Linked DNA regions of Saccharomyces cerevisiae S288C. Each later gene encodes a partner of the first gene's protein in a complex. Each region holds a gene or a part of one and is shown in the gene's direction. Other genes may lie near its edges.

The links.
Region 2: MRPL15 (region 1) and MRPL40 share a complex: the UniProt entries of both Saccharomyces cerevisiae proteins name them as parts of the mitochondrial large ribosomal subunit.
Region 3: MRPL15 (region 1) and MRPL31 share a complex: the UniProt entries of both Saccharomyces cerevisiae proteins name them as parts of the mitochondrial large ribosomal subunit.

The regions. Positions count from the first base shown.
Region 1 is NC_001144.5:757,889-760,745, forward strand, and holds MRPL15 (mitochondrial 54S ribosomal protein mL57 MRPL15), read left to right. Parts: upstream 1-1,591; coding exon 1,592-2,353; downstream 2,354-2,857. Other genes in the region: ATG39 (Atg39p), read right to left, coding at 1-945. UniProt on the Saccharomyces cerevisiae protein: Component of the mitochondrial ribosome (mitoribosome), a dedicated translation machinery responsible for the synthesis of mitochondrial genome-encoded proteins, including at least some of the essential transmembrane subunits of the mitochondrial respiratory chain.
Region 2 is NC_001148.4:221,331-224,536, forward strand, and holds MRPL40 (mitochondrial 54S ribosomal protein uL24m MRPL40), read left to right. Parts: upstream 1-1,812; coding exon 1,813-2,706; downstream 2,707-3,206. Other genes in the region: NIP100 (Nip100p), read right to left, coding at 1-1,443; COX10 (protoheme IX farnesyltransferase), read right to left, coding at 3,023-3,206. UniProt on the Saccharomyces cerevisiae protein: Component of the mitochondrial ribosome (mitoribosome), a dedicated translation machinery responsible for the synthesis of mitochondrial genome-encoded proteins, including at least some of the essential transmembrane subunits of the mitochondrial respiratory chain.
Region 3 is NC_001143.9:184,786-187,541, reverse strand, and holds MRPL31 (mitochondrial 54S ribosomal protein mL60 MRPL31), read left to right. Parts: upstream 1-1,860; coding exon 1,861-2,256; downstream 2,257-2,756. Other genes in the region: APL2 (Apl2p), read left to right, coding at 1-1,082; CMC1 (Cmc1p), read right to left, coding at 1,250-1,585; HSK3 (Hsk3p), read left to right, coding at 2,530-2,739. UniProt on the Saccharomyces cerevisiae protein: Component of the mitochondrial ribosome (mitoribosome), a dedicated translation machinery responsible for the synthesis of mitochondrial genome-encoded proteins, including at least some of the essential transmembrane subunits of the mitochondrial respiratory chain.

The DNA.
Region 1 (2,857 bases):
AGAAAATTGCCTGTATTTATTATGAAGTAGCACAAAGAGCCTTTTCCAGCGGCGTTTCTGTTCTTTATGCAATACCCTTAAACTTTCTTGAGCGGATTTAAAAGAATTCTTGAGAAATAGGTGTAACTTTATTCTTCCTCCGTTTATTTTGTTAATTCTCTTGTGCCAACCGTCTTTCATTCGAGCTTTTGTTGTATACCATAAAATAACTAAGTCTGTTTTGTATCGTCTCCAGCCCATTAGGTCATCATCCTTTAATGGGTATGCAATATGATTGTCGAAGTCGACGTAGTATTTTCCTGAAGGAGCCCACTGACTTAAAGAGTCACTTGATGAATCGTAAGATTTTTTATCAACAAAATCGATATTGCCGTACAACAGCTTCCTTTCATTATTACGTAATGACTGTTGTGATTTAAAACCTGCCAACACATCACCAGTCAGGGAATATTCGAGGGCGAGGTATGAAAAGGTCATGGAAAGCAATGAAGATAGCATGATAACATGCCACATCTTCAATTTAGCAGATTTACCCTCACTTTTATCTATGATATGATCCGATAGTGTGCTAGAATTCCTTATCGTACTATCCTTCAGTTTCGACCCCTCCATACTTGGCAATACCGTTCCGCCAACATTTGAGCCGGACAAAGTATCAAATGACTCTGAAATAGTGGGAACTCCAGTTTGATCAATATTAACTCCAGCATTACTAAATTCATTAGATGTTCTAAAATCGTAAATACGATTCATCTGTGCAGACTCTTCACTGCTAGTGTTCGATAGGACATCTGCATCGAAGTCCTCGTCGTCCTCTCCTGCAAAGGAGCTTTCATGCAAACTATCCAAAGATATTTCTGACTTCGATGACTGTTCTTCCCCTTCTCTCCCTTTACGTAATCTACGTAATCTAACTAAATTCCAATGATCGTCTTCTTCTGACATTTTAGGTCCGACAACTCGACTGTTTTACTAGTCTCTATTATCGTCACTGCGTATTACTCTGCTACTGTGCTTGTTACTTTATACCGGAACAGTAGCTCCTAAACGATTATTCCAAATGAAGAAAAACGTTTGGCCAGTAACCTGCATAAAACTGAATAACTATAATGATACTCCGACTAATAATATATCCCAATGCCCCATCTCATCTGTGTAGATCAATTTTTATGGCTCGATCCAGGTACCTTGATAAGCAGCTGTCGCGCAAAGGGGTTACCGCAAAATGGATAGATGGACCGGGGGCACACCGGGGTAGGGGGTCCGGAGGGTTAACTGTCAACTCCACCCATACAAGACCGCGCAGAAATCGTCGCAGGACCCCGCCGAACGGCGAAAGCAAATATGCAGCCGTAAAGACCTAACAATAAACCTAATGTAGTCATAGGGCTAATTGATTTTAAATATATGACCTAGCTGACTATTCAAGTTTGCCCTAATTGATGAGTTTTTGAAAAAAAAAACAACTTAGGTTTCGCTATCCAAGCTTATGCTATGGGAAGCGTTGGAAAACTTGCATATAGTATGAACAAGAGCGAGATATAAAACTATAACGGTAGATGGAAAGTAAAGAGTAGACAAGCTCGGAAACATGGAAAATAGCATGATGTTTATATCGCGTTCCTTGCGGAGACCCGTTACTGCTTTGAACTGCAATTTACAAAGCGTTAGAACAGTCATATACCTTCATAAGGGTCCGAGAATTAATGGTTTGAGACGAGATCCAGAGTCGTACTTGAGAAATCCTAGCGGGGTACTCTTTACTGAAGTTAACGCAAAAGAGTGTCAAGACAAAGTTAGATCCATACTACAATTGCCCAAGTACGGAATAAATTTATCAAACGAACTGATTTTGCAGTGTTTAACACATAAGTCGTTCGCACACGGGTCAAAGCCATACAACGAAAAACTGAATCTGCTAGGAGCACAGTTTTTGAAACTACAGACGTGCATTCATTCGTTAAAGAATGGTTCGCCGGCCGAGAGTTGCGAGAACGGGCAACTTTCTTTGCAGTTCAGCAATCTGGGAACAAAATTCGCTAAGGAATTAACGTCCAAAAACACAGCATGCACATTCGTTAAATTACATAATCTAGACCCTTTCATATTTTGGAAGATGAGAGACCCAATAAAAGATGGCCACATAAATGGTGAAACCACGATTTTTGCTAGTGTCTTGAACGCATTTATTGGTGCAATTCTGTCAACGAATGGATCTGAAAAAGCAGCTAAATTTATCCAAGGAAGTTTGCTGGATAAAGAAGATCTTCATTCCTTGGTTAACATTGCTAATGAAAATGTAGCATCTGCAAAGGCAAAAATATCCGACAAGGAAAATAAAGCATTTCTGTGAAGATACAAAAAATATAGTTGATGGTTCACTGGCCAAAAATGTATAAAAGAAAAATTTATCTGTAAATAGTGATCGAAATAAAATAAGATAATAACTAAAGAATATATATGACTTTACTGTACAGATCTATAATTGAAAAATGACGAGAGGTCCTGTGAAAGAGTCTGCCTGTTCGCCATCTTCACACATTCAACCAATTCCCTGGTGCGCTTGGTTACTTCCATCAGGATATCTGCTAATTTTTGATAGAATCGTTTCTTCCCAAGCTTTGTGGAATCGCATCCATAAGTACACAATTCCGATAACTTTTGCGAGCAATCTGTGAGCCTTTCAATAATTTCTTTACAGTGCTCGCCTAAATCCAGTTTAAAACTTTTTTGGACCATTGCTTTGGTAGTCATATCAATCACCGATTCCAAAATAGGAATAATCTCGATGGAATTTTGACATAATCTCGAAACTGATCTTGCGGACTTGAACAATTTTGATTTAGAGGCTTGAACA
Region 2 (3,206 bases), on another chromosome or scaffold:
GGTTTCCTGTTTAGAAGAAAACTTCCTTTGCAAAAACTCGCTTAGCCACATCGAAATCGGAGCAATATTTACTTTGAAACATTGTAATGTCGTTTCCAGGTGATCGGGAGTATTCTTTATGGTGTAAATATGAAGCGCATAACTGATAGAGCTCAACACTTTTAGAATTATATGGATTTCAATATTCTCCAACTTTCCAAAATTTTCACTTTCGATTACTTCGGCTAAATATTGCAATTGAGAGGAAAGAGCCGCCAAATGTGGTTGTGCAAATGGCTCATATATTTGGTAAAATTTCTTTAGCAATTTATTTTGATATAATTCCTCCTGTAAAGTGTTCACTTTTAGTTCAAGACTTTGAAATTTGTGAGATGTTTTGGCTTCAATAGATTCCAATGTTGCTTTTAATCTTGAATTTTCTTCGATATATGTGCCTGCTATCTCCTTTTCATTTTCCAATGCAGATTGCAAATTACTTAATTGCAGTCTCAGTTCTTGCTCGAGTTGCTCATAGGTAATTCTTAAATTTTCATCCAATTTTTCTTTTGCCTGTAGTTCCTCCAACTCATTGTTTAAAGCCTTTATATTACTTGTGAGTAGGATATTATCATTAGTCAATTTATCAACAATATTAGATGATTTACTTTGAGCTTCAATCTGCAAGGCAAGGTCGCCGATTGTATTATTAGTCTGTTGCAATTGCAGACCTAAATCCGATATTTTTTTAGATAATACTGCATTTTCTTCTAATAACTGAGTATTCTCCTCGAGCAGGTCCTCTTGCACCTTCATAGCTTTATCATATGACAACTTTGTTTGGTCGAGTAGTCCCTGAAGAAGATGGCTCCTTTCTAACAGTGTGCCTTTGTCGAGATCCGGTGCCATTACACTATCTGAAGCATCTAATAGGTGATTGAAATTATCCAAATGAGTTTTCATATTACCATTTTCCACTTTCAGTTCTTTGACTAGTTTATCCAATCTTGAGATTTTAGACAATAGAACAGTTTCATTAGTACTCAGCTTTTCAACGGAAGTTTTCAGCTCATGATTTTCTATTTTAATTTTATTTAATTTGGACGCCAATGATTCACATTTTACTTGTAGATTCTTAATTGTTTCTTGCGCTGCATTACCATTTAGCAAACTATGCTCATCGTCATCTGGTTTATAAAACTGCAACGTATCTTTCTTGCAGAAAAGACCATAATAACCACCATTTGAATTAGCTTTCTTCAGGTCGATATCAAAGTAACGAATACCGTTAGCGCTTCCATCATTCTTTCCTAACGGTTTATCTAGTTCAATGCCGTACCATATGCCTTTTGCAAATTGAGTTTCCCCAATGAATTTCACCCGCCCCTTCATCTCGTTGACTAGAACTGTGTCCTGTAAGCTTATCTTCTGCATATTTGTGTCAACTTGAACACCTGCATTGCGCATTTGTCCAAGGCTGTACTGCGAGGTTGATGGAGATCGAATCTAGAATAGTATTATGTACTTTGCAAAAGTAAAGTACAACATAAAGTCTAGCAGCATATGAGTAACTCTCTACAGTTACGCCAACAATCTCAGTGTGGAGGTTAGAGTAAAAAGAAAGCACCTTACAACTGTACGTTTACATAAGTGACTTTTCAACATATATGCATTTTTTGTTAAGCATTGTAAAATACCCGGTTGAAAAGCGACATGAAAAATAACGACATGTTAGATTCAAAAGTACCTACTGCTCTTTAACAGCTACTTAAGGATTACCTGATAAGAGTAATCCACCGTAAAGAACATTATCAGCAACAAAATTTGTAATCCATCATGTCTGGAAGCTATCAACATTTATCAAACGTTGGATCGCGTGTTATGAAAAGATTGGGGAATCGACCCAAAAACTTTCTTCCTCATAGTGAAAAGTTCATTAAAAAATCTACGCCTGAGTTCATGAAGTCAGATTTAAAGGAAGTAGATGAGAAAACTAGTTTCAAGAGTGAAAAAGAATGGAAGTTTATACCTGGCGACAGAGTAGTAGTAATGAGCGGGGCTTCCAAAGGAAATATAGCTGTAATTAAATCTTTCGATAAAAGAACAAATTCATTCATATTAGATGAGAATGGGCCCACAAAGACTGTTCCAGTTCCTAAACAATTCTGGCTTGAAGGCCAAACATCTCACATGATAACAATTCCAGTTTCAATTTTGGGAAAGGATTTAAGGCTAGTTGCTGATATTGACGATGAAAAGACCCCAGGAAAGACAAGAACGGTGGCAGTAAGGGATGTTTCCTTCAATGGTTCCTACTATGATGCAGACTACAAAAAGGTAATGCCATATAGATGCGTAAAGGGTCAACCAGACTTGATCATTCCATGGCCTAAACCAGACCCAATTGATGTGCAAACGAACTTGGCTACCGATCCTGTAATTGCTAGAGAACAAACATTTTGGGTCGATTCCGTAGTGAGAAACCCTATTCCAAAAAAGGCAATACCAAGTATTCGCAATCCTCATTCTAAGTACAAAAGGGGTACCTTGACAGCGAAAGATATAGCTAAGCTAGTAGCACCTGAGATGCCCCTAACAGAGGTAAGAAAAAGCCATTTGGCAGAAAAAAAGGAGTTGGCTGAGAGAGAAGTACCAAAACTAACTGAAGAGGACATGGAAGCTATTGGGGCGAGGGTTTTTGAATTTTTGGAAAAACAAAAAAGAGAATAAATGTACCAAGTGTATGCACTCTATTTTTATATTTGATTCTCTAGTGTGATTTTTTTAATCAGTATATCCCCTTCACTATTCACGTAGTAAATAAGTTATATTCGACCTGTATATATGAAAGCATAAAGTAAAGTTCAAAGAATATTCAGATATTGATGTGGGCAAACGTGATGACTTCAAATTACAAAATCTTTTCTTTAAAAATAAATTATGTGCGTATGTACATTATTTTTAACCAATAAAAGGGTTTAAATATTTATTTACAAGATTAATGACTGCCCTTTAAGCGTTGTCTCTTTATCTCATTGTACTAATGCTAAAATCGTTCCTGTGGTCGCTTTGCTTCACCAGGATATATCCAATCCCAGCGGCCTTTTTTATGTATAATGGCTAGGATTAGAATTGCCGGTAGGTGCAATACACTAGCCATAAAAGTTTTCCTTGCATAAATGTTGGCTACACTTAGACCTTTATTAAACTTGACGTTATCTTTTAATGTT
Region 3 (2,756 bases), on another chromosome or scaffold:
CTTTGTTGTTGACAGAATTAAAGGAATACGCAATGGAATATGAACCTGAGTTTGTTTCAAGAGCTATTCAAGCTTTGTCCCAGTTGGGTATTAAATATGCACAAGAATCATTCGTCAGTAAAGTCTTGGATATTCTCCTAGAATTGTTAGAAAGACAAGACACAATAAAAGACGACTGCTGTATATCATTATGTGATTTATTAAGACATTGCCCCGGAAACGATAAGATGGCCAAACAAGTTTGTGCAGTATTTAATACTTGGTCAAATCCAGAGGTGTTATTACAATCAGATATTGCGAAGTGCAACTATGTCTGGTTGCTAGGACAGCATCCCAACAATTTCTCAGATTTGGAGTCAAAAATCAATATTTTTATAGAGAACTTTGTTCAAGAGGAAGCTTTAACACAGATGTCTTTACTAATGACAATAGTCAGACTACATGCTACTTTAACGGGTAGTATGCTACAAAGCGTCCTAGAATTGGCCACACAACAGACACATGAATTAGATGTGCGAGATATGGCTATGATGTATTGGAGATGCCTTTCGATGCCAAATAATGAAAGTTTGGTTAATGATCTATGTCAAAATAAACTTCCAATGATCTCCAATACACTGGAGAAGTTTTCACCAGAAGTGCTAGAGAAACTATTAATGGAATTGGGTACTATAAGTTCCATTTATTTCAAGCCCGACTCAAATAGGAGAAAAGGCAAAAAGTATGTTCAAAATATAGTTAAAGGAAAACATATAGAGGAATTAGAAAGCATGGCAAAAAATGAAATTTCTAGCAAGGCTAACGATGATGTGCTATTGGATTTTGATGAAAGAGATGATGTAACAAATACAAATGCAGGAATGCTGAATACTTTAACAACTTTAGGCGATTTGGATGATTTATTTGATTTCGGACCATCTGAGGATGCCACACAAATAAATACAAATGATACCAAGGCTGTACAAGGGTTGAAGGAGCTGAAACTAGGTGGCGACTCAAACGGTATATCTTCTGGTGGTAAAAACAATCCCGATGTTTCGGGCGGCAATATAGTGTCACAGGATCTCCTCGATTTATTCTGACTATAAACGTCCGTTGTAGTGAACTTAAGTATTATACCATACATATATACCCTTCGTATTAATTTTTCCTTTTTATTGTTGGGCTGTGTGTATATAATTTATGTACAAGAATGGATATATCAAAAAATCCTTAAAAGATGTAAATCAAAAACATCAATCAACACAGCTTATTTTGTAGAGCTTTGTTTTTGACATAACTTTTCAAGCTTGTTGATTTTTTCTAAAACAATTTTATCCCTTTCACCATCTAAATATTTCTCATCTGTTTGATAAAACAGGAGGCACGATTTCATTTCATCTCGTTGCTTATCACAAGTGGGAAAAACTTTCATTCCATTTGCCTTAGCACAATCTGCCATTGCTTGAACAAAATTTGCACATTTTTTGTATGTTTCCGTCTTCAAGTTCTTGCGAGCCTGTTGTTCTTCGCGAGGACTTAGCACCCATATAGGTAGCCTAGAACTATGTTTCGAGATCATCTGCGGATCTTTGTTTTGCTCCATCTTATCAAATATATGAAAGTTGTTCCAGATAACTTGAAGATATTCGACTTTTGTATCTCTGGCTTTAATTATGGTTAAATCTTCCTAAACTATCATAGGTATAAATACAGGGCACTCCGTTTTCAACTTTATAATCGGAGAAGTACAAGAGCATTCAAAAAGTTCAAGAGAACGGTATAACAAAAGGACAAAGGGAAGCCAAAGAGGGAAAAAAGATATCCGTACTTTGTAGGAAGGAGACGTATTTAAAAGGCTACCCAAGTTATAAGACTCCAATGTTTGGCCCATTCAAATTAACAAGCCCCGTCGCTGGTGGCCTACTATGGAAAATTCCATGGAGAATGTCCACACATCAAAAAACCCGTCAAAGGGAAAGATTAAGAAACGTTGATCAAGTCATAAAGCAATTAACTTTAGGTCTCCACGTCCAAAGATGTCAGGATAAAGGTCTTACTTATCAAGAAGCCATGGAGAGCAAAAAGAAATACAAGCCAAGAAGTAAATCGTTAAGGTTGTTAAACAAACCATCAGTCTTTCCAAAGGAGAATCAAATGTCTTCTAAAGATAAATATTGGACTTTTGATAAAAAAGCTGTTGGTTATAGGAAGGGTATTCATAAGGTGCCCAAGTGGACGAAGATTTCCATTAGAAAGGCCCCAAAATTCTTTTGAATGATACGTAAAAGATCGTTTTATTGATATAAAAATTTCATCTGTATATAGTTTAATCATTGAATAACTTGTTTATAGATCCATGTTTGAAAGTAACACTCCTAAGAAGGCTTTGATGTTTTGTATTGCTCATATTATATCATGCCCATTGAAATCAACGTTATTTTTTTGTAAAGGTGGGAAGAAAGATCAACAAGATAAATGGCGAAATAGAACATATCAGAACATTTGAACTTCAAAACGAAGAGGACACAAAGAATTTCAGGCAAGAGAATGAACGCTAACAAACAAAGGCAGTATAATCAGCTTGCACACGAACTTAGAGAGCTTCAAACGAATTTACAGGAAACGACAAAACAACTAGATATCATGTCGAAACAATGTAACGAAAACTTGGTAGGCCAATTGGGTAAGGTACATGGAAGTTGGTTGATAGGTAGTTACATTTATTATATGGAGCAGATGCTTGGAAAAACGCAATAAGGCATAAGAGGTAAGAC